Struthio camelus: one gene and its partners. The protein of the gene in region 2 purifies or fractionates together with the protein of the main gene of each other region. This does not show direct contact. Links are inferred from orthologs where the notes say so. Each region holds a gene or a part of one and is shown on either strand. Other genes may lie near its edges. The genes, in order: RPA2, PRPF19, KNSTRN and SNRPA.

What was found.
Region 1: the proteins of PRPF19 (region 2) and RPA2 purify together in Homo sapiens (affinity purification with western blotting; 4 studies listed by BioGRID, with this or other methods). This does not show direct contact. The link is inferred for Struthio camelus from reciprocal best matches to the Homo sapiens genes PRPF19 and RPA2.
Region 3: the proteins of PRPF19 (region 2) and KNSTRN purify together in Homo sapiens (affinity purification with mass spectrometry; 4 studies listed by BioGRID and IntAct, counting the BioPlex papers as one, with this or other methods). This does not show direct contact. The link is inferred for Struthio camelus from reciprocal best matches to the Homo sapiens genes PRPF19 and KNSTRN.
Region 4: the proteins of PRPF19 (region 2) and SNRPA fractionate together in Homo sapiens (co-fractionation; 3 studies listed by BioGRID and IntAct, with this or other methods). This does not show direct contact. The link is inferred for Struthio camelus from reciprocal best matches to the Homo sapiens genes PRPF19 and SNRPA.

What each region holds. Positions count from the first base shown.
Region 1 is NC_090964.1:2,835,941-2,843,898, reverse strand, and holds the start of RPA2 (replication protein A 32 kDa subunit), read right to left. Parts: upstream 3,010-7,958; 5' UTR 2,741-3,009; coding exon 2,725-2,740; intron 2,516-2,724; coding exon 2,403-2,515; intron 2,277-2,402; coding exon 2,175-2,276; intron 2,057-2,174; coding exon 1,943-2,056; intron 483-1,942; coding exon 408-482; intron 1-407. Other genes in the region: SMPDL3B (acid sphingomyelinase-like phosphodiesterase 3b), read left to right, coding at 3,139-3,190, 3,305-3,518, 5,303-5,400, 5,959-6,102, 6,703-6,875, 7,060-7,240, 7,843-7,958. UniProt on the Homo sapiens protein: As part of the heterotrimeric replication protein A complex (RPA/RP-A), binds and stabilizes single-stranded DNA intermediates that form during DNA replication or upon DNA stress.
Region 2 is NC_090946.1:3,854,608-3,862,449, forward strand, and holds the start of PRPF19 (pre-mRNA-processing factor 19), read right to left. Parts: upstream 3,004-7,842; 5' UTR 2,884-3,003; coding exon 2,865-2,883; intron 2,079-2,864; coding exon 1,929-2,078; intron 1,315-1,928; coding exon 1,238-1,314; intron 1,102-1,237; coding exon 960-1,101; intron 769-959; coding exon 695-768; intron 614-694; coding exon 551-613; intron 443-550; coding exon 401-442; intron 264-400; coding exon 189-263; intron 1-188. Other genes in the region: voltage-gated monoatomic cation channel TMEM109, read left to right, coding at 4,738-4,962, 5,376-5,478, 5,789-6,174. UniProt on the Homo sapiens protein: Ubiquitin-protein ligase which is a core component of several complexes mainly involved pre-mRNA splicing and DNA repair. Required for pre-mRNA splicing as component of the spliceosome.
Region 3 is NC_090946.1:4,863,281-4,870,281, forward strand, and holds the start of KNSTRN (small kinetochore-associated protein), read right to left. Parts: upstream 3,015-7,001; 5' UTR 2,951-3,014; coding exon 2,890-2,950; intron 2,714-2,889; coding exon 2,582-2,713; intron 1,414-2,581; coding exon 1,281-1,413; intron 1,129-1,280; coding exon 1,072-1,128; intron 842-1,071; coding exon 742-841; intron 1-741. Other genes in the region: DISP2 (protein dispatched homolog 2), read right to left, coding at 4,776-7,001. UniProt on the Homo sapiens protein: Essential component of the mitotic spindle required for faithful chromosome segregation and progression into anaphase.
Region 4 is NC_090957.1:588,953-596,257, forward strand, and holds the start of SNRPA (U1 small nuclear ribonucleoprotein A), read left to right. Parts: upstream 1-4,305; 5' UTR 4,306-4,551; intron 4,552-5,439; 5' UTR 5,440-5,461; coding exon 5,462-5,534; intron 5,535-5,778; coding exon 5,779-5,951; intron 5,952-6,039; coding exon 6,040-6,216; intron 6,217-6,322; coding exon 6,323-6,463; intron 6,464-6,749; coding exon 6,750-6,841; intron 6,842-6,935; coding exon 6,936-7,095; 3' UTR 7,096-7,305. Other genes in the region: COQ8B (atypical kinase COQ8B, mitochondrial), read right to left, coding at 14-133, 216-230; ACTMAP (actin maturation protease), read right to left, coding at 1,954-2,282, 2,399-2,469, 2,558-2,687, 2,791-2,915, 3,001-3,069, 3,863-4,074. UniProt on the Homo sapiens protein: Component of the spliceosomal U1 snRNP, which is essential for recognition of the pre-mRNA 5' splice-site and the subsequent assembly of the spliceosome. U1 snRNP is the first snRNP to interact with pre-mRNA.

The DNA of each region.
Region 1 (7,958 bases), on a different chromosome or scaffold from region 2:
TGATTTTCTAACTGGCTAGTAACTAACTGCACTTTGCTTTAATGCACACATCACTATTTAAACAGTGACTATTATGATGTAACTGTATGACATTATTACCCTTTATAAAGTGTCCCCTAGTGACCAGAATAAAATCTAAGCTCTACAGTACAAACATTCAAGAATGTGGTGGCCAGTACTGTTCAGCAGAAAACAATGTACGGATGAACAATGAAATTTTAAATGGATCTTCTGTCCTTTGCACTTAGGAACAGCATTGCCAAAAACATTCAAGGAAAGGCTGACTAAAGATCATGATTAACTGCATATTCTACAAAGACCCTAACACTTTACAAGATCAGTAATCCTTCAAGCCACTGCTCCAACCTCATTACTTGAGGAGTCATACATAAATAACATGATTTTACCTGGAAAGACCGAAGATGACCAGCTACTTTTACGTAAGTTCCTGGAGGTACTACAACATTCTCACCACCTGCCTCCTAACAGAAAGGAAAAGGGGAAAAAACAAGGTTTTCCTGATTCACATTTCCATTTATCCACTATCACAATAAGTGATTTGAGAAAAGAGGCTTATCTCAAGCAAACACAAAAGCCATACATTCCTACATCCAATACGAACAGTTAGTGTAAGTGAAAAATGGAAAAACTAAGTGAAAGGGGAAAAAAAATTCTTCTTGTTTGAATACACTGCATATCTGAGAGCAGCTGAAGCCACTTGTATTACAGCGCTCCGATGTCTTTGTCCGCTTCTGGGGGATCTTCAAAAAGCAACAAGAGGGAAAAAGCCCTGAAGTAGTAAAAAGGAAGTGTTCAGCTATAAAACTTGGGTTACGGTTATGGAAACAGTCACAGAATCCTCTTCTAATTTATGATAAACTTGTCGTTAAGCCGACTGAACATTTGCTTAATTACTCTTTCAAAGTTGTTCGTCTGAACTCAGCTGTTTGCCTTCAAATATGTTTTAATAACAGGGTCCAGCTTTAAAAGCTTGTTATATCAGCATGAGAATCCAGTGGAAAACTACCATCACTTCAGGAGTCATGCATCAGCAATGATGATACTCACCGGTATTATCAGTCACTGAGCCATATACAAAAATCTCTGTTCAGATACTTTCTGTCCTTGTGTTTCTACACAAAGGTATTGAGGACTCATCTCTCACAGAATCACAGAATTGTTTAGGTTGGAAGGGAAATTGGTTGGAAGGGACCTCTGGAGATCATCTAGTCCAACCTCCCTGCCCCAGCAGGGTCACCTAGAGCATATTGCCCAGGATCACATCCAGACGGGTTTTGAATAGCTCCAGCGAAGGAGACTCCACTACCTCTCTGGGCAACCTGTTCCAATGCTCTGTCACCCTCACAGTGAAGAAGTTTTTCCTCAGGTTCAGATGGAACTTCCTGTGGTTCAGTTTCTGCCCATTGCCTCTTGTAAATGCCTCTCAATTCATTTATGAAGCAACGTTCAAGCTTCAGCCTTTAAATACCTCAAAAATTGTTCAGCATGCTTCAATGTAGAAGCGTAGAATTATAAAGCAGGAGGAGACTCATATACAACACTGGTGACCTCTGCTACTGCAACATTTTCCTCAGCTTTTCGAGTTACATTATTCCCAAAACATTTTCCAAACCAGTCACGTTATTTTTTCAAGAAAACGTTAAGTTCATAACAAAGAGAGGGGTAATAAACACAAACATAACACACACAGAGAATTTGATGGGGTGTTTATCACAAAGAATTACTGAAAATGACTAAGAAAACCTAAATTTTGAGTTTTTCTTCCACGCAACAAGGACCAAGCTAAAGTTAGATTCTTGTTCTTCCATTCTTTGCTTACAACTTAAATCTTTTCCATCTTTTCCATCTTTCCTACCCAACTGGTGTTACAAGAATCATCCAAAAGCTCATTCTCTCCGCTGTACTCCCCACTGGTGCTTACGTCAGTATCAACCCACTGTCTGACATCCATCGGGGCCGCTGTCATATCGTCTACTTTGTAGAGAATGTTTGTCGGTGCTTTCTCCGCATGCCGGATTATCCCCATGATAGTGACCTGCATTGGAAGAAGGAAAACGTTACAGTGGGGGACTGGCACGGGAAAGCTGTTGCCACTCGCAACGCTCCCACTCGGGGTTTGGCAGCTCTGCCCAGTGGCCACCCTGGGCGCTTACTTGAGATATCTCCACGTCGCGGATCCTGAAGGTTTCATCGACCTGCTCAGCAGCCAGCAGTTGTGACACAGTACAGGGCACGATGTTCTGGGAGCGGGCTCTCTGCAAGGGGATGCCGAGGGGCCGTCAGCTCCGCGGGCCGAGCGCCTGGCCCTCGCCCCGCAGGGGGCGGGCGGAGCGCCGCGGCCCAGCGCCCCGGGGCCCGGCGAGGCCCCGCTCCAGGCCTACCTGCTTCTTCTCAGCCTGGGTGCCTGCGGGGGAGCCAAAGCCTCCCGGGGACTGCATGTAGCCGCCTGCGGGCCCCGGGCCTCCCACGTTGCTGTAGCCGGTGTCGAAGGTACCTGAGGAGAGGGAGGGAGAGACCCTGAGGCGGCGGCAGAGACGCGCTACCCGCCGCCGCCGCCGCCGCCACCGGGCGCAGCAGCCCCGGCTCCTCCCTCGCCGGCAGCACAGCCCGCCGCGCGCTGGCCCTGGGCACCGGCTCCTGCGCGGCGGCTGCGCGGCAGCTCCCCGGCAGCCCCGGGCCGCCCCCACCGCCCCGGGCCCGCACCCTGTCCGCTCCACATTGCGGCGGCGCCAGGCCTAACGGCAGGCGCGAGACGGACCCGCGTAGTCCCCCCGCGCGCCGCCGGCAGCTGCCCAATCCGCGGGCCCGATAATCCGGCCGGTCAGCCAATCGCAATCGCCTTTCTTCTGGCTCCTTCCAGTGGGGGGAAGCGGCGGGGAGGCTGACAGCGCCATTTTGAGTGCTGGCGCAGCCCGACCGCCGCCGAGGTGAGCAGGGCCCGGGGCGGGGCGGGGCCGAGCGGCCCGGCGGGGAGGAAAGGGGAGGGGCAGGGAGGGGCGGGGCCGCGCGGCGCAGCGGGGCGGGGAGGGAAGGGGAGGGGCGGGGCCGCGCGGCGGGGCGGGGCGGGGCGGGGCCGCGGCCGCGGCCGGAGCAGGGGTAGGAGCGAACCTGGCCAACATGAAGCGTTTCGCGCTCCTGCTGCTCTGCCCGCTCTGCGCGGCCCTCGCAGGTAACAGGGGGCGGTGGCGGGCGGCTGGCGGCTGTCGGGCGCTCGCTCGCTCGCTCGCTCGCTCGCTCGCCCGCCCGCCCCGCTAAGTCGCGGCGTCTCTCCCGGCGGCGGCAGGGCGCTTCTGGCACATCACAGACCTGCACTGGGACCCCGGCTACGACGCGGCGGCGGAGCCCTCGCAGGTGTGCCCCTCGGGCGGCTCCCGGGCCGTGCCGGCCGCCGGGCCCTGGGGCAGCTACCTCTGCGACTCCCCTTGGCGCCTGCTCAACTCCTCCATCTTCGCCATGAGGGGCATCCTGCGCCAGCCCGACTTCATCCTTTGGACCGGGTGAGGAGCCAGGCCGGGCGCGGAGGGGGCGGCCGCGGCCCCGCCACCGGCTGAGCTCGGAACTTGGCCCCGGGCAGGCAGCGGCCGCCCCGCCCGGCGGAGGAGGCTGCGCGGGGCTCGGCGGAGCGTGTCCTCTGCCGCCCCCTCAAGGGTCGGGCCGCTTCACCGGCCCGTCCCTCAGAAAAAAGCGGGTATAGGATAGGCTTTGAAGCTGTACTTCAGCTTTACGTGTAAAAATGAGGAAATCCCAGCTCTTCTAGGCTCGTGTTTTCCATCATTTTGCTGAAGCTCTAGGAGGTGAATACCCATGTTTGCATTTTTAGGAATCTTCTTGTGACAAGGGGGGGGGGAAGCCCAAATAATCCAAAAATTGGTAGTACTGGTTCTGTGTTTACTCACGCTTTCAGTTTATGACATGATCCTGCGTGCTTTGGGCATTGCCAGTGTTTGGCTGAGAGCTGTTATTAGAGAATGGGGAGCCAGAGGACTTGGAGGTGAAGAGTTCACGGTAGATTCAGGGTTCTTAAGGTAACCATTTTGGAGAGGTGAGATTTGGATACGCCTTAAAGTACAAAATGGAGTCTGCTAGTGGAGCTGTACGGAGCTGAGGGCACAGCGAGGCTGTTAGGAGTGGGAGGCCATGCTTTGAACGAGCCCCAGCAATGAGGGATTCTCTGAAAAACTCCAGGTAAGATGAGGGAAGGTGTTAGAATTCACCATCCTTTCTTCTTCTCCAATTGTTGCCAGCCTAGTCTCACTTCACACAAATTTTGAATACCTGAAAATGCTTGGGGGAATGGAACGTATTCATTTTGTTGGTGTACAAAGTCCTGCCTTGTTAGAGGCACCACGAGAAGGGCTTGCAGCATTTCTTCAAACTACACAGAGGAACCTGGAAGACTTACCTCAAAAAGGAGCTAATTTTCTTTACAACTATGAAGAGCCTCCCCAAATGGAGCTTTTTTTGTAGTATGGTGTCCAGAAGTGGCCACCTTACAGGAGGCCCTAATAGCACTTGCAAACAGTGAAAGACTTGTTTGGCATGATTTCTGTAAGTTCATACATCCCTCTGTAATGTTTCCTGCTTCTTCTAACAGCACAGTGTTCGCTATGAGCTTTTGTAACTCCCAATCCTGATCTGCAGCGCTGTTGACTAACCCACTGTTTCCACTTTATATATTTGTGCAGATGATCATTCCTACTTAGAAATAGTTGTTGGTCTTTAAAACTTCTGTCTTGTTTTACATTTTCTCAAACTATTTATCCTCGTTCTTCAAAATCTTCCTGTATTTTAGTCTTATCTTTCAATGGGCTTATAATCCTTACCAGCTGATATTGTCTACATATGCTAAAAGCATATTAGTGAAAACATTGAAATGTGTATCTGCTAGGTTTTTAGAGGTAGATCTCAATGGTCATTGGCTTACTGGAGGCATCCGTTTGTACTCAAGAGAGCAGCAGGATAACAACTCTTCCATTGAAAATAAAACAAAGAGTTTTGTTTTACCACTGCTGACCAAATTTACTACCAGACTGTGAAACGCTGTTCCTCACAAGATCGCCAGTCATCTGTAGCATCTGTTAAATACACTGAGGTAGAATAAGGCTCAATTTCTTATGCTTGTGTATAGGTTTTTCAAGGTAGACTAAAGCAGAGCAGGTTTTTACTGTGAGCAGTTCCTTGAAACTCTCTTAGTGCCCTTGCCAGTCAACGTAGTGCTGATTCGTGCCCCATAATGTTTTTTTGTTTGTTATTTTTTTGTTTGTTCATTTGTTTTCTCCAGAGATGATACTCCTCATGTCCCCAATGAGCAGCTTGGAGAAAAACAGGTTCTGCACATAATTGAAAATCTGACTTCTCTGATAAAACAGATATTTCCAGGTAGGATCTGAGAGAATGAATAGGGGAGAGGAGTACAAAGTCTCATGGGAAGAACTTACCATTCTGGAGAAATGATATAATTAAGAAGGGGAAAGGCACTGAAATGCTGTGGGCATTAGGACTACTTTGTCTTCTTCCTAGTTGCTGTACAGGCTGTTTGATTGAGGCATGTCTAACACACCCTTGCTATTTCAGATTAATTCACTCAGAAGAGTGGAAAAGAAACATTTCTATAACTACTCATTAAGAAAAACGAAGCTACAAAATTTATTCTCGCTTAGTGGGAGAAGAAGTATTACTGACAAGGAAATCTCACTGACTCCATCTGTAAAAACATAGCAGTCTTGCTCTGGGGTGGCTTCCCTGAGGACACATGGTCTTGCAGTATTGTATCCCCAGTCCGTGCAACCACAGGAGTTTAGTGTGGATGATAACCTTTTATGAAGCTCTCCAGCCATGCTATTCTTTTTGAGTCTGTAAGCTCTCTAGAGAGCTTTGGTGCTGAAGAACTCTGGAGCAAGCTTGGATTCCTCTGTGCTTCCTTTTCTCTTTCTCTAGAAACTAAAGTCTACGCTGTGATGGGCAATCATGACTTCCACCCCAAGAATCAGTTTCCAGGGGAGGAGCACAGGATCTACAACCAAACAGCTGAACTGTGGCGCTCCTGGCTGAACGATACTTCCATTCCTCTGTTCAGAGCAGGTGTGGCACCACTAGCCCGTGTCAGCAGTGTCCTGGGAAGATAGGGTGGTTGGGAAAGTCACCATGAACGTGCTGTCTCTGCTTTTATTCCCCAAGCCGCAGTGCTTGTAGAGGAAGGGTCCAATTTAAGATTGATTCCTAGCACTGAGTTTTCCTGCATGTGGGAAAAGGACTTTCTTTATGCTTTAGTCTCTCCGTGCTTTCCTAGAGTTTTAGGAAAGTGTCCCTGCAGAGGATGGTGAGCTTCAGTGAAAATAAAAAAGATCTTTCAAGAAAGCCACAACAGTAGCTATCTATAGCTTCCCAGCTCCTGGACTGTCCTGCACATACTCTTAAAACCCAGGGTCTCTCTTCACCTTGAGTGGCATATGCGGGACAAGAAGACACAGGGAAGAGTCACACCAAATCCATATCCTGGATTGGTCAGAGCTGCTGGTTACTCTGGAACCAGTCAGAGCTGCTGGCACCTTGTCTAGATAGTGACTCTGCTGTGACTATTGCCAAGGAGAGCTGAGAGAGGTAAAAGCCCGGGGATTTGGGGACACAATTGGCTGTGTGGCCAGAATTCCAGCTCTTTCTCCTGCTGGTTGCATTTTACAGCTGCTTTCTACAGTGAGAAGCTGCCCAGCCCAAATACAAGTGGGCGAATGATTGTCCTCAATACCAATCTGTACTATGACCAGAATAACCAGACGGCTGGTGAGGAAGATCCTGGAGGGCAGTTCCGGTGGTTGGAAGAAACATTGACCAACGCCTCAAAAGCAGAAGAAATGGTATTTAAAAAAAAAAAAAAAAAGCCCACACAACAACAAAAGCCCCCATGCCTTTGTAGAGGGCTTCTCCCAGCCTGGAAGGTCCTTTCACTCCTGATCTCTCTTGTGTGCCAAGGACCAGCAAGCCAGTGCTCTCTTTGGGAAGCATGGGATCTACATTCAGCGCAGCTCTTTGCTCTTGTAGGTTTACATTGCTGGGCACATCCCTCCTGGCTTCTTCGAGAAGAAAAGAAGCAAGCCCTGGTTCCGGAGTAACTTTAATGAACGATACCTGAAAATAGTGCAGAGGCACCACAGAGTGATTGCTGCCCAGTTTTTTGGACACCACCACACTGACAGCTTTCGGATGTTTTACAGTGATACAGGTATCAAATCTGGCTACCCAAGTATTTGCATGATAGCTCTGTTCAGTCCCCAAAAAATCATTGTTGAAGAGGGTTTTCGGTGACTGCAGCCAACAAGTCAGAAAAGGCTCATTTACGTCTTGCTTTCTAAAACGTCTTGTAAAATGCTTTGGTCAACAAGACACAACAGTGGATGGGATTCCCCACCCAGACCTGTAGCTCCAGCTGTCCTTCCTGCTTCCCCTCTCATTTGTTGTTTCCTCTCACAGTGCCTTGCTGCTCGTCCTGCTCCATACTGATGGTTTCTGGACCTTAGCTGAGACCTAAGGGAGCAACTGTAGGTCTTCACAATGGCTCTTTGGGTCTCGTTCACTGAGGGTGGTTCTCTTGCTCACCCTCACTGTAGAGTCTTCCACTCATGCCAAGCTGCAGAAGGCCTGCTTTTAGCTGGAAATGTCACGTATTCAATCTCAGTGTGTTGAATAGCATCAGATCTTTCTGCGTGCATTATTGTAACTGGATCTGGTGAGCAATGGGTGCAAGGTGCTCAGTGGTCAGGATGCTCGTTGTCTGCTCCAAGCCAGACCTCTCTGACTCATGGTTTCTTTTGTCTTTCTATTAAGGTTCTCCAATCAATGTCATGTTCTTAGCCCCTGGAGTGACTCCTTGGAAAACAACGTTACCTGGAGTGGCCAATGGAGCCAACAACCCTGGGATCCGGGTGATTGATTACGATCCA
Region 2 (7,842 bases):
TGCCACATCTATTCCAGCACACGCCCCTACCCCTGACCGGCTGTGGCACAGAACGCCATGACCCTCTCCCTGCGTTGCCCAGCAGCAAATCTGTTGCTCATTAAGCTGCAAAGCAGCAAAGGAGATGCCTGGATGCCCAGCTGGCAGGGCTAAGTTTTCAAGCCCTTGTCTCATGCCATGGCACTCACCACGTGCGAAGCCACCTGCCGGTACTTGCTGAGCTCCTCTGGCTTCACCAGCTCCTCTGGAACCGTCTTCCCTCTCTGCAGAAGAGAAATAGCATGGAGGCAAATAATGGCCTCCCTCAGGGGCATTTCACATCCTGATTTCCACAGCACCTTGTTTCACATCACCCAAAGCCACTCAGCTCCATCCCCCAGAGCAAGATGCAGCCACTCACCTTCTTACGCTCCGTGGTCAGCACCGTAGCCTTGTCTTGAAGCTGCAAAACAAGAGAAGGTTGGTAACACACTGACTCAGCTCTCACAGTGGGAAACTGGAGAACAGCAGCTGCCAAAGGCCATGGCAGCACAAGTGGAAGATCCTTTACCTTCTGAATGATCTCGGGGGTCATGCCCGCAAGCTCTCCCAGATCCATGGCCTCCCCAGCACCCTGTACAAGACAGAAGGGGGCTGGTTACATCCAGAAAGGAAACAAAGGGCAAACATGCAGAGATATGCAGTCTCAACTCACTGCCACATTTGGCTGGGAGGATGGCACCGTCTGGGGCACGATGAGGCCAGCCTGGGGTTTCAGAGTTGCCAAGGCTGCAGAGGCAGAGAAAGCCTATAAGTTAGACAGGCCACTTGAAGGCAAAAGGAGATGGTGTCCAGCCCAGCGATCTCTATTGAGCCCACCTGCTCCAGGGCCACACAGTGCCCTCTGCTCCCCAGCCCACTCTCCCCGAGACCCAGGACATTATCCAGAGGTACATAGCCCCCACACAACTCCACGTCACCTTCTCTGGCCGCGGTGACCTCCTTGGTGAGCCGAGCAATGACACGGCAGGCAGCATCGTGCTGGTAGAGTGCGTGGGACAGCTCCTGGCGTGTAGTCTGCAGCTGCTGACGGAGGGTGAAGCTATGCAGCATGACAGCATCCTGGCAGGACAAGGAAGAGCCAGACAGGCAGGGGAACACATTAGCCCCAGTGCAGATAGCCCTTTCTCCCCGAAGGGGCCAGCACTGGTACTCCGCTCCATTCTCAGCCCCAACCCAGCTAGGGGCCAGCACTTACCCACTCATCCTGGAGGGCTTTCAGGATGGCTGGTATGCTAGTAGCAGATGGCGGCTTGGGTCGGATTGGGTGGGCGACTGTCAAGGAGATAGTGTGAACATATCAGTCTCTGGGGTCAACTGTGTCCTCAGCATCACCTAAAAAACCTGTTTCCTGCCAGTCCCTTCATACACACACACACTCCTTTCTGTTTACATCTTCTAGCAATCCATCCTTTCAGCTCAGCTTTCTGACTGCATCAGTGACTGACCAGTCCCTTGGGAAATCTTTTCTCAGGGTCCCAGCACTTTCTCCTGATGACTTAGAGCTGCTGCCAGAATAGATACAGCCACTGGTCCAGTTTATCTGGCAGTCTGCCCTGGGCACAGCCCACAGCACAGCAACACAAGATACCTAAAACCCCAGCTGTGCACATCCCACCTCTGCAGATCACAGATTTTTTCAGTTGCACATCACTGCTGCACTGACTCTACTCTGCTGCTGCTTCTCCAAGTCCTTTCTCTGGCAGCATTATCCACGTTCATAAATCTACCTGCCTATGCCTAAAATGGCTTGTGCATCTCTGTCCTGTGCCCCCAATCTTGATGCAGCCGAGACCCCTGTGCTTCCCCAGAGAGAAGCAGTACAGGCATTGCAAAGCACAGGTACTCAGGCTCTGGGCGCCTCTGCTCCTGGCACATGCCCTTCTTACCTTTGATATCTATGAGCTGCTCCTCCGAGAGAGGCTGGTTGTTTACAGGGTCGGTCCCATTCTCTGCAATGTACTTCTCGATCAGCCTGCGCTCATAGACATGGTTGGAGACTGGTGACACGCAGGGGTGCTCAGGCACCTCGTTAGAAACTGTATGAAGAAAGGAAGGAAGATTGCACAAATTACAGCACCACTGCATAGCATAAGATTAGGTCCTGACATGGCTCAAGTGCTGGCAGTCCCTGCTGGCCTGTTGCCTCTCACAAGCGAGAAAAAGGGCTACCCAAAAAACTGAAGTCCTCCCCAAGAATACAACTACACTGTGCAACATGCCCTTGATACGAGAGGCAGACCAGACCTCCTTCTAAGACGTATGTTGCCACCTCTATGCCACACTAGCAAAACATCTATCGCTCCCCTCCCCATCAGCCAAGCCAGTGAAGGCCCAGAGGCCAAGCGCACCCAGGTCAGCGCCTCAAAAGGCAGCTATTAGCAAGCTTTCCGAAATCTTTCTATACTACTACGCGAGTGTGGCTCAGGCCCCCAGCGCTCCCTGCTTGTGCTGCCTGCTCAGACAAGGCGTCAGCAGCAGGTTTCTCCTCTCAGCTGGCGGATCGGAGAGGCAGCTGCTAGCTGCGGGTAGCTGCACCGGCTGATAGAACCCTTTCTCCGTGCTGCCGCATCCTTGGGGTAACGGCCCTGCTTTCGCGGAGCACCGCCGGCAGGTGAGAGCTGAGGGGAGAGTCGAGGCCCTTCGCGCCCTGCTCCGCACCCCCCGGCCGCGACAGCGAGCGCGGCGGAGGGGGCAGAAGAGGCTCCTCACGGCGACACAAGCCCCGCCAAGCGGGGCCGGCCGGGCACGGGCACGGGCACGAAACGCCGCCCCGGAGCCTGGCCCGCGGCCGCCTGCGGCCCGGCCCGCGGCCGCGCACTCACTGGAGCAGATGAGGGCCATGGCGGGCCCCGGGGCCGCCCCGCCGCCGCCTCCGGGTCCGGGTCCGGCGCGCGCGGCCGCAGCGACGGTCCGAGGCGCTCACGCGGGGCCCCGCCGCCGGAAACGGAACTGCTCCCGGCGTGCCTCGCGCCGGGGGGGCGAAGGCCGCCCCGCCGCTTCCGCCCGCCCCTTCCCGCGCGGGAACGGCGCCTCCCGGCGTGCACCGGGGGCAGGCACGGCGACGGCTCCCCCCCCCCGCCCCCCCGTCCACGGCGCGCCCAACAGGCGCCGGCGAGGGCTGCGTTGCCATGGCGACCAGCGCCCAGAATGCCGCGGGGTGCACGGCCCCTGGACTACGGCTCCCGGCGTGCCCCGCGTCGCGGGCGGCTCCGAACCGAGGCTGGGCGCGCGCGCGGAGCCCCGGCGCGGCCCTGCGGCGCCCCCGCGCGGCGGCGGCGGTGAGCGCCGCCCCCTGCCGGCCGGGTGGTGGGAGAGGGGAGGGGAGGGGAGGGGAGGGGGCGGGGGGCCCCCCGGGGGGCGGCACCGAGGCGGGTGGGGGGGCCGGGGAGATAGGGGATAGCAGGGGCGTGGGGTTCCCGGGAGGTGGGTCCCTGGGGGAGATCGGGAGGGACCGGGGGGGGAACGGGGGGGGGAGATGGGAAGGGGTGAGGATGGGGTGCGGGGGGTGGGAGAGATGGGAAGGGGTGAGGATGGGGTGCGGGGGGTGGGAGAGACGGGAAGGGGTGAGGGTGGGGTGCTGGGGGTGGGAGAGACGGGAAGGGGTGAGGGTGGGGTGCTGGGGGTGGGAGAGACGGGAAGGGGTGAGGATGGGGTGCTGGGGGTGGGAGAGACGGGAAGGGGCGAGGGTGGGGTGCTGGGGGTGGGAGAGATGGGAAGGGGTGAGGGTGGGGGGCTGGGGGTGGGAGAGACGGGAAGGGGCGAGGGTGGGGTGCTGGGGGGTGGGCGAGCTGGAGAACCTGGGAACCAGGGTCCTGTGCGATTGGAGGCACCTAGGGGATGGGGAGAAATGGAAGCACCCAGGAGCCAGACAGAGATACCCCAGGAAGTGTGGTCTCTGTAGATGCGGAGAGATGGGGCACCCCGTAACGATGAGGTACCTCGGGGGCCAAGGAGGACTGGGAAGCCCAGGTGGACGTGGCAGGAAGGGCCGGGGCAGGATAGGGTACCTGGCTGCGGAAAGAGCTGGGGTAGAATTGGGTGCTGGGGGTGCAGGGTGTCCTGGAGGGGCTGGCGGTCGTGGAGACAGTGCCCCTTGGCCCCTGGCGCAGCTGTCCCTCCGGGGGCGGGAATGGGTGTTGGGCGCCCGGCTCGGCCACCCGGCAGGGCCCCCCGCACAGCCCCCAGCTGCCCGCCAAGGCTCAGCTGCCCTTGGGCACGGCCGGCCCTGGCATCCCGCTGACGTGGCCTGGGGCCCACCAGTGACGGCTTGCTAAAGATAGCCCCCCAGCCGGCCGAGCCGGGGTTCGCTCAGCAGCAGGCGCCCGGCGCCCCGCTCGACCCAGCCCCTCGGCAGCTCTGGGGACGAGGGCTCTGCCTCCCCGCGGGACGCTCGCGCTGGCCGGGGGCAGTGACACCTCCAGCCTTGGCGCGGGGCCCCGCTGGCCAGGCACTGGCAGCCGCTGCCAAGCCCCGGTGCTGGGAGCAATTTGGGTGTGCTGAGGAAGCTGCTGGGCTGAGGCCAGGGCTGAGGCTTGACTGACAGCCGAGGTGGCCTTGGCACTGCGGGGAAGGTGTCAGCTGGTTAGTGCCTGCGCCAGCGCGGGGGCAGCAGGGCCCCTGCCCTGTCCAGCCTTGCGCCTACTCGGGCTCTCTCTCTCCCCCACAGAGGTTCCTGGGCTGGACACAAGACCGAAGATGGGGAGCGATCCGGGGCGCTGGCTCCTGCTCTGGGCTGTGCTGGCTCTGATCCTGGGGGCCACCTTTCTCGGGGTGGCAGCGGGCAGGATGGAGGATGGGCAGGAAGGCTTTCGGAGGCAGGACACCGAAGTCACCGAAGACTTCCTCTCGCGGCTGGGCCGAGCGGCGAGGGAGACCCTGGAGACCCTGGTGGGCCGCGAGCCCCTGCAGCTGGTGGCGGAGGTGAGGCGCTCTGTCCGGCCGCCAGTGGGGCAGGGGCAGGGGCAAGCAGGGTGCCCACGTTCCTGCTGGCTCCCGCAAAGCCCTGCAGAGGATGTGGGAGCCTGCATCCCAGAGAGGGATTTGGGGGCCCCTCTACCTTTCACCCTGGGGGGCAGGGAAACCCAGGGGGCTCAGATCTTCTTATAGGAAGATCTGTTCTGCCTGGACACCAGAGCTGTCACAGCTGTGGTGGGAGCCGTCCCTTGCCAATCCACCCACTGAGCCATCCGGCCTCAAGCAGCAGGGAAGTGAGCCCTGCTGGTACCTGCTCGTCCCTCCTGGGAGAGGCAGCAAAGCTTTTTTCCCTTCCCCTGGTGCATTGTCTCTCCCAGCCCACGATGCTGAGCAGCTTTGTCTCTCCCTGTTCCTCACAGAGCCTCTCCGCTGTGCTCTGGACCGTGTCCTCGGGCATCTCCATGGCTCTGACTACTCTCTGCAAGATCCTGGGAGAAATCCTGACTGTTTTTGGCCTGAACGGTGAGCCAGCGCTGCCGCTGCGTTCCCTGGGGTCCCCTGACTCCAGCCCTGCCCTGAGTGCAGGCCAGGCAAAGCATGGGAGGGGGAACTGAGGCCCAGAGAGAACAGTCTGTGGGGCTGCTTTGGTGGAGCCCATGGCCTCCCTTCACTGGTAGAAGTGGAGGCTCCAGGGAACACTGCCCTGGATTTGCTCCCGAGGACAATTAGGTGAGGGACAGGGACACCCCTCCCAGCCTCTTGCGGGCAAGGAGAGTCTCGTCCCTTGCCGGGAGGGTCATGGCCAAGCTAGCTCTGATGCTCTTCTTTCCAGGGGACCTCCTGGTCCAGACTGTGAGGCTGGGCCCCAGCGAGGTGCAGAAGCTGCTGCTGTGGGGCCTGGCCATGCTGGTGAGCTGCTGGCTGCTGTCACGGCTGCTGGGGCTGGTGCTGGACCTCCTGGAGTACGCGCTGTGGTGGGTGAAGCTGTGCTGCTTCTTGCGGGCCTTCATCTACATCGTGGCCTCCCAGGAGAACCCAACGGTGCAGGCGGGGCTGCTGCTGGGGCTCTGGGTGCTCTACGCCCTGCTGGGGCGCCTGGCGGGGGCACGCGGCCCTGGTGCCGAGCTGGAGGCCACCGTGCGCAGCCTCGAGTGGAAGGTGGAGGAGCTGCGGCGGCGGCAGAAGTGGGGAGGCCCCCGGAACCGGGAGGAGGAGTGAGCCGGCGCCAGCAGACCCCGGCGCATGGTCTGCTCCTGGTGCGCTGTCTCCAGTGCACCCCGGCAGCCTGGCCCCGGCCCGCTCCCCGTACCGGCACTCCCAGCATGCGTCCCCCCTGCTGCACCCCTGCACCCCACCTCTGCCCTCCCCACCGGGTCCCCCCACTTGGTGCACCTCCCTTCCTGTTTCCACCACCCGCTCCCCCCCAGTTCTCCCGGTAGGCATGTTTAAGCCAGCCCAGGAGGAACTCCAGCCCAAGAGCCCTGGGTCCCAGCGAGGGGAACAGGGCGCCTGCTCCATGCAGCACCCACGGCGCTGGGGACCTGTTCCCTGCACACGCGCTGCAGTGCCTTAGTTCTAGCCAGCGGTGCCTTACACAGCCTGCACCCACGGAGGGAGATGGGGGGCCTTGGCTCTAGCGACTCCCTTCGCTCCCCATCTCCAAACCCAGCCCCACCAAAGAGGAGAGCAAGGGGAAAGCGTTTTAATCCGTGGTGCGTTTGCCTGGCCTGGCAGCAGTGCCATGCATCTGCCCATGCCAAGCACAAAGCCGTTGTGTCCATCTGTCCCATGTGCGGGTACGGACGTGGCTAGGCAGGAGGGAGAGGATCCGGCTTAGCCAGCTGGGAACCTGCTCCGCTCCTCTGAGTGTCTCTCGGAAGGGGGGGTCTCCAGCCACGGACCTCCCTTTGGGGAGAGCAGCAGCGATTTCTCTCCCTTCCCCAAAAGTGGGGCTTGCGATTGTGCGTGGTGGGTGCCAAACTGCTGCCGTGCACCTTTTCTAGGGGACAGCTGCCAAAACCCTACTTTGTCGGTTCTTGTTTTTTAAGCTGCTTTTTAAACTGTTTTGATACGTGGTACCAAATAAACACTATTTAATCACCGCCTGGCTGGGCTGGGGAGTTCATTTTCCTGTGCCAGCAGAGAAGCGGCAAAGAAAAGACTGTGGCCGGCCGCCCTGCGTGGGGAGCGGCGTGGGCATCCTGTGAGGCCGCCCCGGGGCTGGGATGTCACAGGAGCAGGGCTCTGAGTCGGCGGCTCGAGCCGGGGTGCTGTCCCAGCTGTCCCTCCCGCTGGCTGACTGGTTTTTTTGGGGCAGCGAGCCCTGGCGCTGCCGCGCAGCGTGGAAAGGGGATTAACATCTCCTAAGTGGCCGGCTCTGTGCTTGCCACCTGGGGCCCCTGGCTGTGCTGTGTCCCAGTCTGGTGGGTCCCTCTGTGGGGTGGGGGACGCCAGCTGGGCTCTGTCCCCGTTGCGCCAGGCTGTTTCCCCACCACGCACAAAGGGACGGTCTGTTCCTGACCCCAAACCCTTGGAGACCTAAGTGGGGCTTCAGTGGCATCCCTGAGACCTGCTCTGCCCCTGGTTGGGGGACGCAGGTCAGGGCAGGCGTGCTGGGTGTGGGTCTTGTGTTTCTGGGGCAGGCGAAGGGCGCCTGGGGCCCATAACAGGCTGCAACACGCCGGGCCGCGCACATGTCTGTCTCCATCTGTTTGCTGAGGCTGGAGGAGAGGAGGGAGGTTAGGCGTGCCGGGATCTGTCCCCTTCCCCCTTCCCATCCTCCTCCAGCCTTCCCCACCACCGGCACCTGGCTGGTGCTGGTCTGGCTGGCTGCTTGACTCTGTCTGACTCTATCCCCCCAGGCTCGCCCAGTGTCCTCCTAGTCCC
Region 3 (7,001 bases), about 1.0 Mb from region 2:
TATCTAGTTAACAATATGGCACAATAGCACACGGAAGAAGCATAAGCTTACATACACCAAATTAACTGAGTTAGTAATACTAAGAATAATGTCAGTGTCCCTCAAATTCTTAGTGCCCAGCAGTGACCTAAATCCAAGTTCTTAACTACTAAAATGCAGGTATATACACTCCTGAAAAACCCCCATCTTCAATACTGTATGCAGTTCCCACACCACGCTTCTTGTGATGGGGTAACAGAACTAGCAGAGATTTGGCAAAGGGAATAAGGATGATCTAAAAAAATTGAATAGCTTATCTGCTGTATGAGGAGAGATGAAGTATGTTAGGAGGTCAGGATGAAAGAAAGAATTAACAGACCAAGTCTTGAGTGGTAATTACTAAGAGATTGTTTACAGTTTCTCACAATGTAACAAGGGAGCATCTGTCAACACTGAGGCTGTTTTATGCAAGCATATAATTGTGAACTTGAAATGTTCTCCTGCAATGAGTTTAAGATGGAATTGGAGCACTGATGACTATTTAACAACAATCTGGATAATTTGGCATTATCTAGCCAAATACATCTGCATTTCTGCTGATAGACCAATGATATCCTGCTAGGACCTGTCAAAGAAGAAAAGATCCAGCCTACTCTTACACTCTACTAGCTTCTGATGGAGACAGAATAACAAGCAAGCATTTGGTCTGACCCTATAGAGGGCAGAATATAAGAATTGCTCAATTAATGTTTTTCTCCTTACCTGTGCTCCTGCTAGTCGGGAGTGCAGTTGTTGTTTAGCTGTTTCTAACAGCTGATTCTTGGTCTTCAGCTCTGTCTCTAATTTGTATCTGCTTAGAGGTCTGTAGAGTCAAACATCAAAGACTTAGGTGCAAAAATATCAGCGTTACATACCCCTTCTTTTATTTTCACCAAGTGTCGTCCTTTGAGTATTTGCTCTCGTTCATGACCAAGAGAGCTTTCATCAGTACACTTGCCAAAAGAAGCTGTATGTGGGGGAGAACTCATCATAACTCTTTGAGATGGAACATTGTTGCATTAGAGCAACTAGTAGCTATTTGAGAAAACATACCCTCTTGCAGCTGTCTTTTTTGAAAGTGGTTCCATTTTCTTGGCAGATTTAGGAAGCCTTAAAAAACAAGAAGAATACTATTACCACAGAAAGACACTGCATATTTACAGATTACCAAGTCTGCTGGTTTGAGAAGAACTGCAAAATGCTAAGCCACTTTCAGGATATTTATCAAGTAACAAATCCATCACTATTTCACTTTCACTTACCCTTGGTTTGTAGCTTTGAAGACACCATCTCCCGGCATATTTGAGCTAAAGTTAAAATTGGGATCCTTGCTAAATTGTAGATCAGCTGTTTTGCTGACACATTGTTTCTTTGGTGGAAACACCATTTGCATTTCTGCAAGAGAAAGACAGCAATGAAAATACCACTGTCTGCAAGAGATCACTGTAATGTGCCAAACTACTGGAGCTACTAAGCTTTCAGTTTGACAAAAAAAAACATCTTACAGGGTTAGAACTGAGAAAGCAACAACTAACTAACAACTAAATTCTACTCATGGTTCAAAACAAGCCACAGATAGCTCATGGCAGACAGTGTTAAAATATAATTACTAGGCTAGCACTAATAGGATAAAGCTTGAAAACAATAATGCAGGCATGATAGTAAAGGAGGTCTCAACATTAGGCAAACAGCAAGCCACAGTGTTCCAAGCAAAGCTGTGCAGCACTGAAAGCAAATATATACAGCCCACATGAAATTCTCAGTGTAAGAGAGCTTTGTATTTTAATTTCCAATAGATATACTTTTGAAATAACTCTAAAGAGAACTAGCTATTTATGTAAAGTTTATTTGGCCATAAAGCACATACATACATGCATAGAGTAAATAAAGCTTTGCTTACAGAGTGGCTTTTCAGAGCTTGTTTTGTGAGCTAAGCCTTTCTCAAATGGCATATCTATATCCAATTCATACTAGAGTTACACAGGGCAGGGGGGGTTCTATTCCTACACACTGGCTCTCATGTTCTAAATTTTAAGTCTAGGTGCCTCATACTTATAACAGGTAAAATGCTGCAAGTAGTATCTGAAGACCTACAGAAGTAAGAGCCTCTGAAGAAAAGTATTTTTAACCTCACAAAGCCACTGCATCCAGATAAGCAGGAGATACACCCTCGGCAGGCCTAACATCAGCACCAGACCAGCAGTCATCTCAAAAGGCTCAGCTGTGATTCTGATAGTAACAGCCCACCCTCCTCAAAAACACAGGTTTAGCCAAGAAATTTTAACTGCAAAATCTTAAGCAGAGATGATGCAGGTGTATAATTTCTATCAGAAGGTAGCCTAGGTTAGGAAAAAACAACAAAAAACTCTTAATAAGATTTCCACAACAGCCACCACAGACCAAGGCAGTATCGGAGCTCCTTAAAAGCTGCCTCCACTCCCGCCGCCCTCTGCGCTGGCCTAAGGCAGACACCCAGCACCGAGGGCCCGGGACCTCGGGGCAGGGCAAGGCAAGGCGGGCCACGCCCTCCCTGCTTGCCTGGCGGAGCCAGGCCGGGACGCACCTGCGGGGCCGCCACGGTGGAGCGCGCCGTACACGGGGATGCGGGAGGGCTCGCTCTCCATCCTGCGCCGCGCCGCGCCGGCCCTCCCCTCAGCGGCCGCCGCCCGGTGACGCCTCTCCAACGGCTGCTCGCCTGCAAGCCCCGGCACAAACACCCTCACCCAGAGGCATCGTACGGCACCGCTCGGGCGTCAAGGCCCATTTCCCCATCCCTCCCCCCGCCCCGCCTTGCCCAGCGCCCCCTCGCCACCGCAGGGCGGGAAGAAGAGGGGAGACGGGAGAGAAGCACAAGAACGCAAAGGCACCTACCGCGCTCGCGCCGCCCGTTTGAATTCAAGCCGGCGCCTAACGGCTCCCGGGCGCGGCACATGCGCAGGCGCCGCCCGCGCGCTCGCCCCGCCCGCGGAGGCGGTGGTGCTGGCGCCGCGCGCAGGCGCAGTGCGGAAGCCGGGGAGGCGGGCAGGGGGCCGTTGTGTTGGGGGTGGGGCTGCGCGCGTGCTGTCTGCCTGCTCTCGCCTCAGGGGAGGGGACGTGGCGGCGGCGCTGGCGGCGGGGCGGCTCTGGCGGGGCCGGGCTCCATCTCGCTGCGGCGGCTCTGACGGGGAGGGTTTCAGGGGTGCCCTCCCCGCCGCCTGAGCCCCGCCGCTTGGGAACTCGGGGCAGCGGGGGCCCTGCGGGCCGTGCCCTGGGGGGAGCTGGGGCCACCCCCTCAGCGCTTTGGGTCGTTAAAGTCGCCCTCCCCTTGGCCCACACCGAAAGGGAGAAGGAGGCTCCTCTATAAAATCCGTTTGCTTGCTTGCTTCCGTGCTCTCATTGTTTTTTTCCAAGCATAACTTTCAAAAGGGGTGGCAAATCCTTCCAAATAATAAGGGGAGGCTGTTGTGCGGAGAGCAATTGGCTTGGTGTTGGCTTCGCGGCTTGAGTGCGGGTCCGCTTGCCGAAATACCGAGCTGAGCACCCAGCGTGAGAGCTGCTCCGCGAAAATGCAAACCCCCTCAGCGAAATTGAAATCAGTTACATGTTTCAGGTTGGGTTACTAGCTGTAAAAGTGCAGATGCCTAATCTACCTTTGGCAATCGCCATCCCTTTCCCACAGAGCAGGCAAAACGACTGTGGGTGTCAGAAGAATGAATCTCTTCAGGTGCATGTCTTCCTTTTGCTGATTATATTGCAAAAGACATGAGACTCGTAAGAGATGAAGAAAATGAGCCACGGTATTGGTGAAAATGAAGCATCACGCAGATTTAGGAAAGTTTGTCATACGCATTTATTTTACGTTAACCTGTAGAGAGAATGTTTTTCTTCTTTCAACAGATAAAGGCCAGGAAGTGTTTGTTTTTCTGTTTGTTTCTGGTAGAGAAAAAAATGTAAAATTCAAGAGTTGTCAGATATGCAAATTTTAAAAAGTTACATGTTTATCTAGAATACCTTGACTGGAAACAAGCTATGAAGACAAAACACAAAGCGCCCAGGACAAGGACACTGTTTTCTCAAAGGGAAAATCTCACGTTGAAAATCTTTGGCTGTACCAGAAGGAATTTCTTCTGGTAAAACAAACTGAAATTGTTACTGAAAATACATTTGGGCTGGGTTTTATTTTTATAGCCTCCGTGATCAGTAAAAGACCATATCAAGTGAAAAGTCTTGATGAGATTGTTTGAAATATCTAAAGTGTTTTGTAGAGATCTGTGAACCTAGACTTCACATAAAACAGTTTCGGAATCAGTAGAAAAAAATGAAAGCCTTTCTTTTTGTTAACAACTCTCTTCACTTGATATCTAGATTTTATATATATATATATATATTTATTTATTTATATGTTTTAAATATGACTTCTCTGTCTTTAAATATCTGGAGAGACTCATCTCTCAGTATTTCTCTCCTGTATGGGTCTGACAAGAAAACAAAATCTAATCACCCTGTAGGAAATGACAGAGAATGTTTACTTGATAAGCTCTGCAGTACAGCTGAGTATGTGGAACAGGACACTGGAAGGTCAAAGAGCTTGTACTGCGTTAAGATTGATCCCCTCACTAGTATTGGATTTGCTGGTTCTGTGAAAACACAGGTGTTTGCACGGCTAAGAAATAGTCTCAGCTCTAGGAGAAATGGGAGGAAAGATGTGATATTTACAGTTCAGAGGAGATTTTGCCTTTCTCCTTTCCCAAGCAGTACGGTTTATTTCCTGCAAAATTTCAACTGCTGTAACCAGCATTTTGTGCACTAGATCGTTTGATCCAAACATCAGGCATATCTGGTTGGCTGTTTGGTAACACAACTGGATCTTCACTCCCTAATCCAAATCGATTTTTCCATGAGGAGCTGTTTTGCTGTGATGCTACTGGCGAGATATCAAACACAGTCTCCCTCAGGTCCAGCCGCAGGGTATCTCTCTTCCCGTTCAAGTAACCTCTTTCTGTTTGACTGTATGAATCTGACAGCTCTAAAACATCTGGACAAGAACTGGCTGATTCAGCAAGTTTTAGGCCTTGCTCAAAATCACTAATTGACGTCTCACTGGAGATGTTGAGCATGTCAAAAGAGCTGCCAAGAGAACAAAGGCATCTGTGAATTTTGTAGATGTCAGCAGCAGGAAGATGACTGTTGTCTGAGGTATAATCTGACTGCTGCTGGGCAGTGTCACTAGAGCACTGTGATTTATTGAGCTGCCCGTCATCTTTCACACCAGCCAGTTGGATGTGGTCCAGCACAGACTCGTCCCAAGCTTTTGGACCGTACTTTTGACATTGACAATCTCTACAGAGCCTCTCCCTTTGAATTTCTGCTCCTGAGCTGCTGTGCTTGTATGGAGAAGACGTCTGTAAGGCAGGGCACTGACACAGACCAACCTGCTGGTCTCCAAGAGTCTCCTGCAGATTCTGTCTTTCTCTTTCAAGAGAAGGGTGCATTCCTGTTCTGGGGCATCTGTTGTCTTCCAGTTGTGTGTCTTCAGACAGTACTGATGGCCGATTGGACAACTTGCTTGTGGAAGTGCTGTTGTCAAAACTGTCACTGAGTTTTCTGGACAAGGGCTGGAGCTCATATTGCTCATTTGCAGTGTTGGACTCCTGGACCTTACGCAGTCTGTTTTGCTTCTCACTTCCCCCACAGGCAAAGCTTCCATTCAGCCCAGAGTCATCAGAATAGTCTTTCATGGTGTGGGCACAAGGCCAAAGGATCTGCCCGCAGTTCTTCTCTGGGCCAAAGAAGCAGCACAGTGACTGGAAGAAGAAGCTGGCAAACCCACAGCTGATACACTTGATCATCATTATGAATATCCCCAGCTTCCTATACGCCAGGACGGTAGCCGGCAACATGATGACCCCTGCAGAGAACAGAGCAGAAGCTGCCATGGCTGTGGCACAGCTCATCTGCTTCAGGGAAAAGGCCACTCGGCTTAGGCGATCAGAATGGGGGCACAAATGGTAGGAGATGCAGTAGTTCACGGTAAAGTCAACGGAGAGACCTACTGCAGCTGAAATGAAGAGAGATTCCACTGCATTGAGCTGCCATTCCAAGAGGACCAAAAGGCCAACAGTTACCAGGACGGTGCCTGCAATAGCAGTAACGGAGAAAACGCTAAGGAGAACGTTCCAAGTGGTGAGCAGCAGCACTACAAAGGAAATGGCTATGGAGAGCCCCATGACCACCATCGTTTCTGTGCTAAGACTGTGCTGAAGATTGTATAGCTCTAGTTTACTGGTAAACCATCCGTTTTGAAGCCCCACGGGGGCAGTTTTCATTTCCTCTGTTATCCAGAGGTTGATTTCCTCGTAGAAATGTTTGGCTTTGCTGTAATTGAAGCTGTAGTGATAAATAGTTTGAAACTGTAGCACTAAGGCAGCAAGATTTCCCTCTCCGTCAAACCTGAGACCCAGATCATATGTTTCAGCCCCTTCCCTACCTTGTTCCAGGAGCATCATTTTGATGCAGTGTAGGAAAACGTCGCTTCCGTACGGGAAAGAGAACTGGTTACAACAGAGGTTGAAGCTGTGGTCTCGTTGGGAGCATTGGCGACTGTCCATCCACCTGAGAAACTCCTCCATGAAGCACACGGTAGATTTCTGCTCAGCATCGGGGTAATAGAACGTTTTGTTCTTCACTTTCTGGCAGAATTCGAGGAGCCACTTCTGGGCATCGGGATTTTGGATTGTAAAGGTGATATCTGTCACTAGGGTGCCATTGCTTTTTGGATTGAAATGATCCCCATTATCCACAGGCAGAATGCCCCATACTATTGTGACAGGCATACGCTGTCCTTCTCCGTGCTCCAGCCTCTCAAACATGAATTGGTGACAGTACTCGGAATCGTACCTCTCAAAAGGATGGCTCAATCTAAACACCTGAACAGATGATGTCTCAAGAGTAGGCAGTTTGAGCTTAGGGTTGGAACAGGAAATGTAGGCACCTCCTATTGCTAA
Region 4 (7,305 bases), on a different chromosome or scaffold from region 2:
GGGTCAGACTCACCCTCTCGCCGCCGGGGGGGCTGCAGGGGGCGGCGGGGGGGGTCCGGGGCCTCCCCGGGGGGGGTCGCAGCGGCGCCGCCCCCCCCGCGGCCCCCCGCAGCAGCGGCCACACGGCAGCCACCTGCGGGAGGGGTCAGAGGTCACGGCCCGCCCGCCCGCGGGGGGGGGGTCAGAGGGCAACAACGGCCGCCGCGCCCGCTCACCCCGCTCCGCGCCATCGCGCCGCTTCCGGGGTCAGCGGCCCCGCCCCCGCCGCCGGCCAATCAGAGCCTGACCTGCCTGCCGGCGGGCGGCCAATGGGAGAGGAGGGAAAGGGGAGGCTCCGCCCCCTGCCGGGAGGGCGGAGCGGCGGGGGGGGGGGCTGCAGGAGCGCGCATGCGCTGCAGGCTGCGGGGTGACTCTCTCCCCCTCTCCGGCCCCATTGCACCCTGCACCCCATTGCACCCGGCCTCATTGCACGCTGGACCCCACTGCACCCGGGACCCCATTGCACCCGGCCCCACTCCACCCGGGACCCCATTGCACGCCAGCCCCATTGCGCCGGGGGCCCCATTGCACCCTGCACCCCATTGCACCCGGCCTCATTGCACGCTGCACCCCACTGCACCCGGGACCCCATTGCACCCGGCCCCACTCCACCCGGGACCCCATTGCACCCTGAACCCCATTGCACCCGGGACCCCATTGCACTGGGGGCCCCCCTGCACCTCAGCCCCATTGCACCTGGCCCCACTGCATCGGGGGACCCATTGCACCCGGGACCCCACTGCACCTGGGACCCCACTGCATGCCAGCCCCATTGCACCCTGCACCCCATTGCACTAGGGGCCCTATTGCAGCTCAGCCCCATTGCGCCCGGCCCCACTGCATAGGGGGTCCCATTGCACCCTGCATCCCATTGCATCCAGCTCCACTGCACTGGGGGACCCATTGCACCCCAGCCCCATTGTGCCTGGCCCCACTGCACCAGGAGCCCCATTGCAGCCTGCACCCCATTGCACCCTAGGCCCCATTACACCACAGGCTCCATTGCACCCAGGACCCCATTGGAGCTGGGCCCCACTGCACCGGGGGCCCCATTGCACGAGTGGACCCATTGCACCCTGCACCCCATTGCACCTCAGCCCCATTGCACCCTGCACCCCACTGCACCCAGGACCCCATTGGAGCTGGGCCCCAGTGCACCAGGGGACCCATTGCACCCTGCACCTCACTGCACCCATCCCCATGGCAGCCAGGGCCCCATCGCTCCCTTCATGCACCTCCCAGGGGTGCTCTGTCCCTGCTTGCCAAGCCCCGCCCCTCCCCAAGCCCCGCCCCCCCATGCAGCCCCAAGATCAGCAGCGGCCGCGACCCCTCTGGGACCCCCAGGTAGCCCCGTTCCCAGCCGGTGGGTGGGAAAGGACCCAGGCGTCCGGGCCCCACCCCCAGGCAACCCCACCCCTGCCTCAGCCTCCCCCTTAGCCAGCGACAGGGCCGCAGAGGGGACCCAGGTGTCCGGGCCTGCCTTGGCCGTGCCTCAGTTTCCCTAGGCTGGCTCCCAACGCTGCGCGCGGAGCAACGGCGTCGGGGCGGCGCGGGGGTCCGCTGCGGTGCAGCGGGAACCGACACGAGCACGGCTCAAACGTTCGCCTTTAATCGCGTGTGCGGCCAGGGCGAAGCAGCGTGCGCGAGCCTGGCGCGGGCTCGGCCCTTCTCCGCGCCCGTTAACGGCGCTTCCCGGAGGCGAGCGGGACAGCGAAGCCTTCCCCGGACGCAGCGGCTGGATCGGCAGCGGGAAGTGTCCTGGCTTCCCCCCTCCGCAGCAGAACCGGGGCGTCTTCTCCCTCCAGGACCGTCCCCTGCCCGCGCCGGGGGGGGACGCGGCGGCGCAGAGCAGGGCGGGCTCGCCGGCAGCGAGCCGGGACGAGGCCCCGCGTCGCCCCCACGTCGCGGCGGTGGCTACACGCCGGGGGCCGGGGGGTGCAGCAGGACGGCCTTGCCGCAGAGCCCAGCCCGCACGCCGCCCGCCGGCACCACGTAGACCTTGCCGTCGCCCGCCCGGCGCGGGCTGAAGTCCGTCAGCTGCGCGTTGCTCTCGTGCAGCCGCCCGTAGCCCCAGAGCTGCACGCGGCGGCTCTTGCCCTGCTTGGCCAGCAGGAAGACCTCGGCCAGCTCGTCGTCCGGCGGCAGCCGGGGGGGCCCCGGGCCGGGGTGGAAGAGGCCGGGGATCTCGGCGTCCTCGCGGCAGCCGGGGCTCAGCGCCGGGCTCCTCGCACCCAGCAGCGCGCCTGCAGCGGAGCCGCCGTCAGCTCTGCCGCGGGGCGACCCCAACGTCCCCGCAGCGGGGCCAGGGGCTCCCTGGCGGCGTCCCCCCCGCCCCGCTCTGCCGCCGGCGCGGACGTACCTGAGACCACGGCCCAGTGGGCCTTGTGGCCCTGGCGGCAGCAGGGCTCGTGGTTGCTGTCCTCGTCGTAGCTGGGGCGGGCGTTAAGGGGCACAACGGGGGCAGCGCGGCGCGGAGGGGGCCGGGGCCGCGCGGCTCTGCCCGGCGGCGGGAGGATACGGCACGAGCAGGGGCCGGCCGGCGGCGAGGTGCCGCAGGATCCGGGGCCGGTTGTCCCCCTCCAGGCCCCCCGAAAGCAGCTCCGCGCGGCACGGGAACAGCTCCTGGGCCAGCGTGGCCATGTCAGCCGCTGCGGGGGCACAGAGCGGGCAGGGAAATCCCGGTGGTCCCCGCCGCCGCCCCGGCACGGCGCCGACGGGGCTCGGAGCGGCCCCCCCGCCGGCCCCCCTCACCTGAGAACATCTCGCCCTGGGCGGTGAAGGCCCGGTCCCGCGCCGCCTGCACGATCTGCTCCAGCGAGACGCCCTGCGACGGCTCCAGCAGGGCCCCGGCCATCCACAGGGCCACCAGCCCGCACCTGGAGGGGGCCGAGCGGGGCCGTGGGTGGCCGGGACCCCCCGGCCCCCAGCCCCGGCCTCCCCCCACCCCACCTCGACACTTACTGGGGGCCCTCCTGGATGAGGGACGGCACCGGGCGGTGGACGAGGAGCCACTGCAGGTCGCTGCTGAAGCTGGGGGGAGGCAGAGGCTCAGCAGGACCCTGGTGACCTGCGGGGGGGGGGGGGGAACATGGCCCACGCGGGGTCCAGGACCCCCCCCCCCGGCCACCACAGGGGGATATCGCCACGGTCCGCCCCGGGACCCCCCGTCCCCCAGGTCAGGCCGGGACCCCCCGTCCCCCAGGTCAGGCCGAGCTCCCCGGGTCCCTCCTTTCCCCTGGTTCATGCCGGACCCCACGGACCCCCCATCCCCTGGGACCCCCCATTTCCCTGGGTCATCCCGGGACCTTCCAGGACCCCCAATTCCTCAGGACCCCCCCATTCCCCCGGATCCATCCCAGGCCCCGGGACCCCCGGGACCCCCCGGGTCAGGCCGAGCTCCCCGGGTCCCTCCTTTCTCCTGGTTCATGCCGGACCCCAGGGTTCCCCGTCCCCCAGGACCCCCCTCAATCACCCGGCTCATCCCGGGCCCCTCCGGGACCCCCAATTCCCCGGGACCCCCCATTTCCCCGGGTCATCCCGGGTCCCCCCATTCACCGGCACCCTCCTGTCCCCCGGGACCCCCCATTCCCCCGGATCCGTCCCAGGCCCCGGGACCCCCCGCACCCCAGGCCCCTCCGGGACTCCCAATTCCCCAGGACCCCCCCCATTCCCCCAGGTCCATCCCAGGCCCCGGGACCCCCGGGACCCCCCGGGTCAGGCCGAGCTGCCCGGGACCCTCAATCCCCCGGGACCCCCCCCGGTTCATCCCGGCCCCCGGGACCCCCCGGTTCAGCCCGGGACCCCCCCGGGCCCCGGCGCCCACCTCTCCCGGCGCCGCCGCAGCAGCTCCCGGAGGTCGCCGCCGTCGCGGTCCGCCGACTCCGCTCGCTCCAGCGCCTCCCGCAGGAAGCGGCCCGGGGGGGGCGGCGGCGGCGGCGGCGGCGGCGGGGGGGGGGGCGGCGGCGGGGGGGGCGGGGCGCACCGGGCGGGGGCGGGGCCTGGCGGCAGCACCGCCCCGGCCCCGACCAGGGCCATCCCCTAGGCCAAGGTCAAAGGGCGCCCGGGCCGGAGGTGAGAGGTCATGGCGGGGAGAGGGGTCAGAGGTCAGGCCGCCGTGCGGCAGCAGCACGTGCCCCCGCGCCGCTGCCCTCGCGCGTGCTTCCGGCCTCTGCTCCGCCCCTTCCGGGCCCCGTGACGGAGCCGGCCAATCGGACCAGACCTCGCCGACCGCGCTCGACCAATCGCGCAGGTGGTGGGCGTGGCCGCCCGCCGCTCCGCTGGGGAGGGGGCTCCTCAATCCCGAGGGAGGGAGGGGCGGGCGGCTCCCAGGCTACGCGTTCTGATTGGCCGCCCCGAGACGGGTCACGCGGTTCTCATTGGCCGCCGAGCTAGCGCCTGCCGCGTTCTGATTGGCGGCCCTCGCTATTGGCGGGCGAGAGCGAGGCGGGCGCGCTGCTATTGGCGGGCGGCGAGCAGGGCCTGGCGGCGGCGGCGGCGCGCTCGGGGCCCTCGGTGAGTGGCGGCGGCGGCGGGTGCCGCCGGGGCGCGGGGCGGAGCGGGAGGGCCCGGGCGGGGTGGCGGAGGCGGCAGCAGCCCCCGCCGCCACCGGGAGGGGAGCCGAGAGGCTGGACGGGCCTCACGGGTGTCTCCACATCCGGGTCCTCCCCCCCCCCGACCTTTGGGGGGGGGAAGGACCCGGATGTTCCCCCCCTCTACTGGGAGGGGGAAGGACCCGGATGTAGTGACCCCTGGGGGGGTATTGACCCCTTCCTCTCCGGGGGGGGGGGGTCAGGGATCCTTCCCCCCGCCCCGAGCCCGGCTCTGGGGCCCGGTTCCTCCCTGAGCCCTTGATCTGGGGGGGGGGTCTGGGGTCTTCCCCCCCCCCCCCAGGGGGTTGAACCCTACCATGGGGGTGTCTCCTCCCTGAGCCCCTGATCGGGGGGGGGGTCTGGGGTCTTCCCCCCCCGAGGGGGTTGAACCCTCCCATGGGGGTGTCTCCTCCCTGAGCCCCTGATCTGGGGGGGGGGTCTGGGGTCTTTTCCCCTCCTGGGGATATTTAAAGCTTTCCTGGGGTTTTTTCCTTCTCCAACCCCCTGGATTTGAGGGGTCTGGGGTTTTGCTCCACTCCAGGGGAATTTAATCCTTTCCTGGGGCTGTTTCTTCTCTCAAGCCTCTGGGTCTGGGGTCTTTCTCCCACCTTGTGGGACACGCCTAGACCCTGGACCCTTGCAGGGACCTATTAGCCCCCACGCCAGGAGGGCTCGAAGGGGGTGACCCTCTTGTTTCCCCCCCCCATCATTTGCACCCGGGTTAGGGTTCTCACTGCCTGTGGGGGCACAACTGGGACCCGCCGTCCCCCAGTGCCGTCGCAGCCCTCTCCAGCCTGGTCTCTCCTCGCAGATCCAGGTGTCACGTGTTCAGCATGGCTGTCCAGGACGCACGCCCCAACCACACAATCTACATCAACAACCTCAACGAGAAGATCAAGAAGGATGGTGAGGGGCGGCCTGAGCAGGCAGAAGGGGAACGCGGGAGGGGTGAGGGGATCCTACCTTCATCTAGGCCCTGGGGTGCTTGTGGAGGCAGCTTTTTCTTTGGTTTGTCTGAGAAAGGTCAAAGTTGTTTGGCTGCAGAGGGAAACGGCCCATCTGTCTCCAGGAGGAGGCCTGCTCTTATGAGCAACAGCTGCTCATTCTCCTTGCTGCTCAACACGTGTCAGACTCGAACTTTGTCTCCTAGAGCTGAAGAAGTCCCTTTACGCCATCTTCTCCCAGTTCGGCCAAATCCTGGACATCCTGGTGTCCCGGAGCCTGAAGATGCGGGGTCAAGCCTTCGTCATCTTCAAGGAGATCAGTAGCGCCACCAACGCGCTGCGGTCCATGCAGGGCTTCCCCTTCTACGACAAGCCCATGGTGAGCCCTGCCCACCGCGCTGCCGGGAGCCGGCCCCCTGGGTCCGCAGTGCCCCCCTGACGTGTTTTCCTCTGCCTTCCCTCCGCAGAGGATTCAGTACTCGAAGACAGACTCGGACATCATCGCCAAGATGAAGGGAACCTTCGTGGAGCGTGACCGCAAGCGGGAGAAGAGGAAGCCCAAAGGCCAAGAAGCTTCCTCAGCCAAGAAAGCGATCGCTGGGGCTGCGGCTCCGGTTGCGTCCGCAGTCCAGGGAGCCGTTCCCGTGAGTCAGCTGCCCGGAGCTGCCGCAGAGAGGGGATCGGAGCGCCGGGGCCGCGCTCGGGGCGGGTGTCGGGGGTCTGGGCGTTGAGCTCGTCTCTCTCCCGCAGGGAATGCCGCCGATGAACCAGGCGCCCCGCATGATGCACCACATGCCAGGCCAGCCGCCCTACATGCCGCCACCGGGCATGATCCCGCCGCCCGGCATGGCTCCCGGTGGGATCCCTCCCGGGGCTATGCCCCCCCAGCAGGTGATGCCCGATGCCCGGACAGATGCCCCCAACACAGCCGGGGGCTGGGCTTCTCCTAGCGCCCCAGTACGGGCACTGGGAGCCCAGGTGCATGCGGGCCGAGAGAGAGTCCAAGGGAAAACGTGCCAGCCCCAAACCTCACAGGCTGCAGGGTGGCCCTGTCGCAGGAGAGGGGCAGGGAACGGGACTCGGGGCCTTCCCTCAGCTCCTCTGGGAGCGCTGCGGGAGGCCAGGAGGTGCCCAGCTTCCCCCCAGAGCCCCTCCGGGCTGACTCCGGCTCTCTCAGCAGCTCTCGGAGAACCCGCCCAACCACATCCTCTTCCTCACCAACCTGCCCGAGGAGACCAACGAGCTGATGCTCTCGATGCTGTTCAACCAGTGAGTGCAGGCCGGGGCCGGGGAGGCTGCGGGCACGCGGGGAGGCACGGCGGGGGCGGTCGGGGCCCCTCTCACTGCCCGTGTCCCCCGCCAGGTTCCCCGGGTTCAAGGAGGTGCGCCTGGTGCCGGGCAGACACGATATCGCCTTCGTGGAGTTCGATAACGAGGTGCAGGCGGGAGCCGCCCGCGACGCGCTGCAAGGCTTCAAGATCACCCAGAACAACGCCATGAAGATCTCCTTTGCCAAGAAGTGATCTCGCAGGCACCGAGCTCCCAGGACTGCTCCCTCCCCCTAGCCCTGCCTCTCCGTCCCCAGCCAGCCCCCTCTGCGGGGCTCGCTCGCTTGTTTTTCCCTCCCCTAGAAGGTAAGTCTGTCCCCGAGGCTGGCTGAGTCTTTGCCCCCCAGCCCCTCTCCTTCCCCCGCGGCACCCCGGGGTCGAACGGAGCCGGACCTCCGCCTGCCG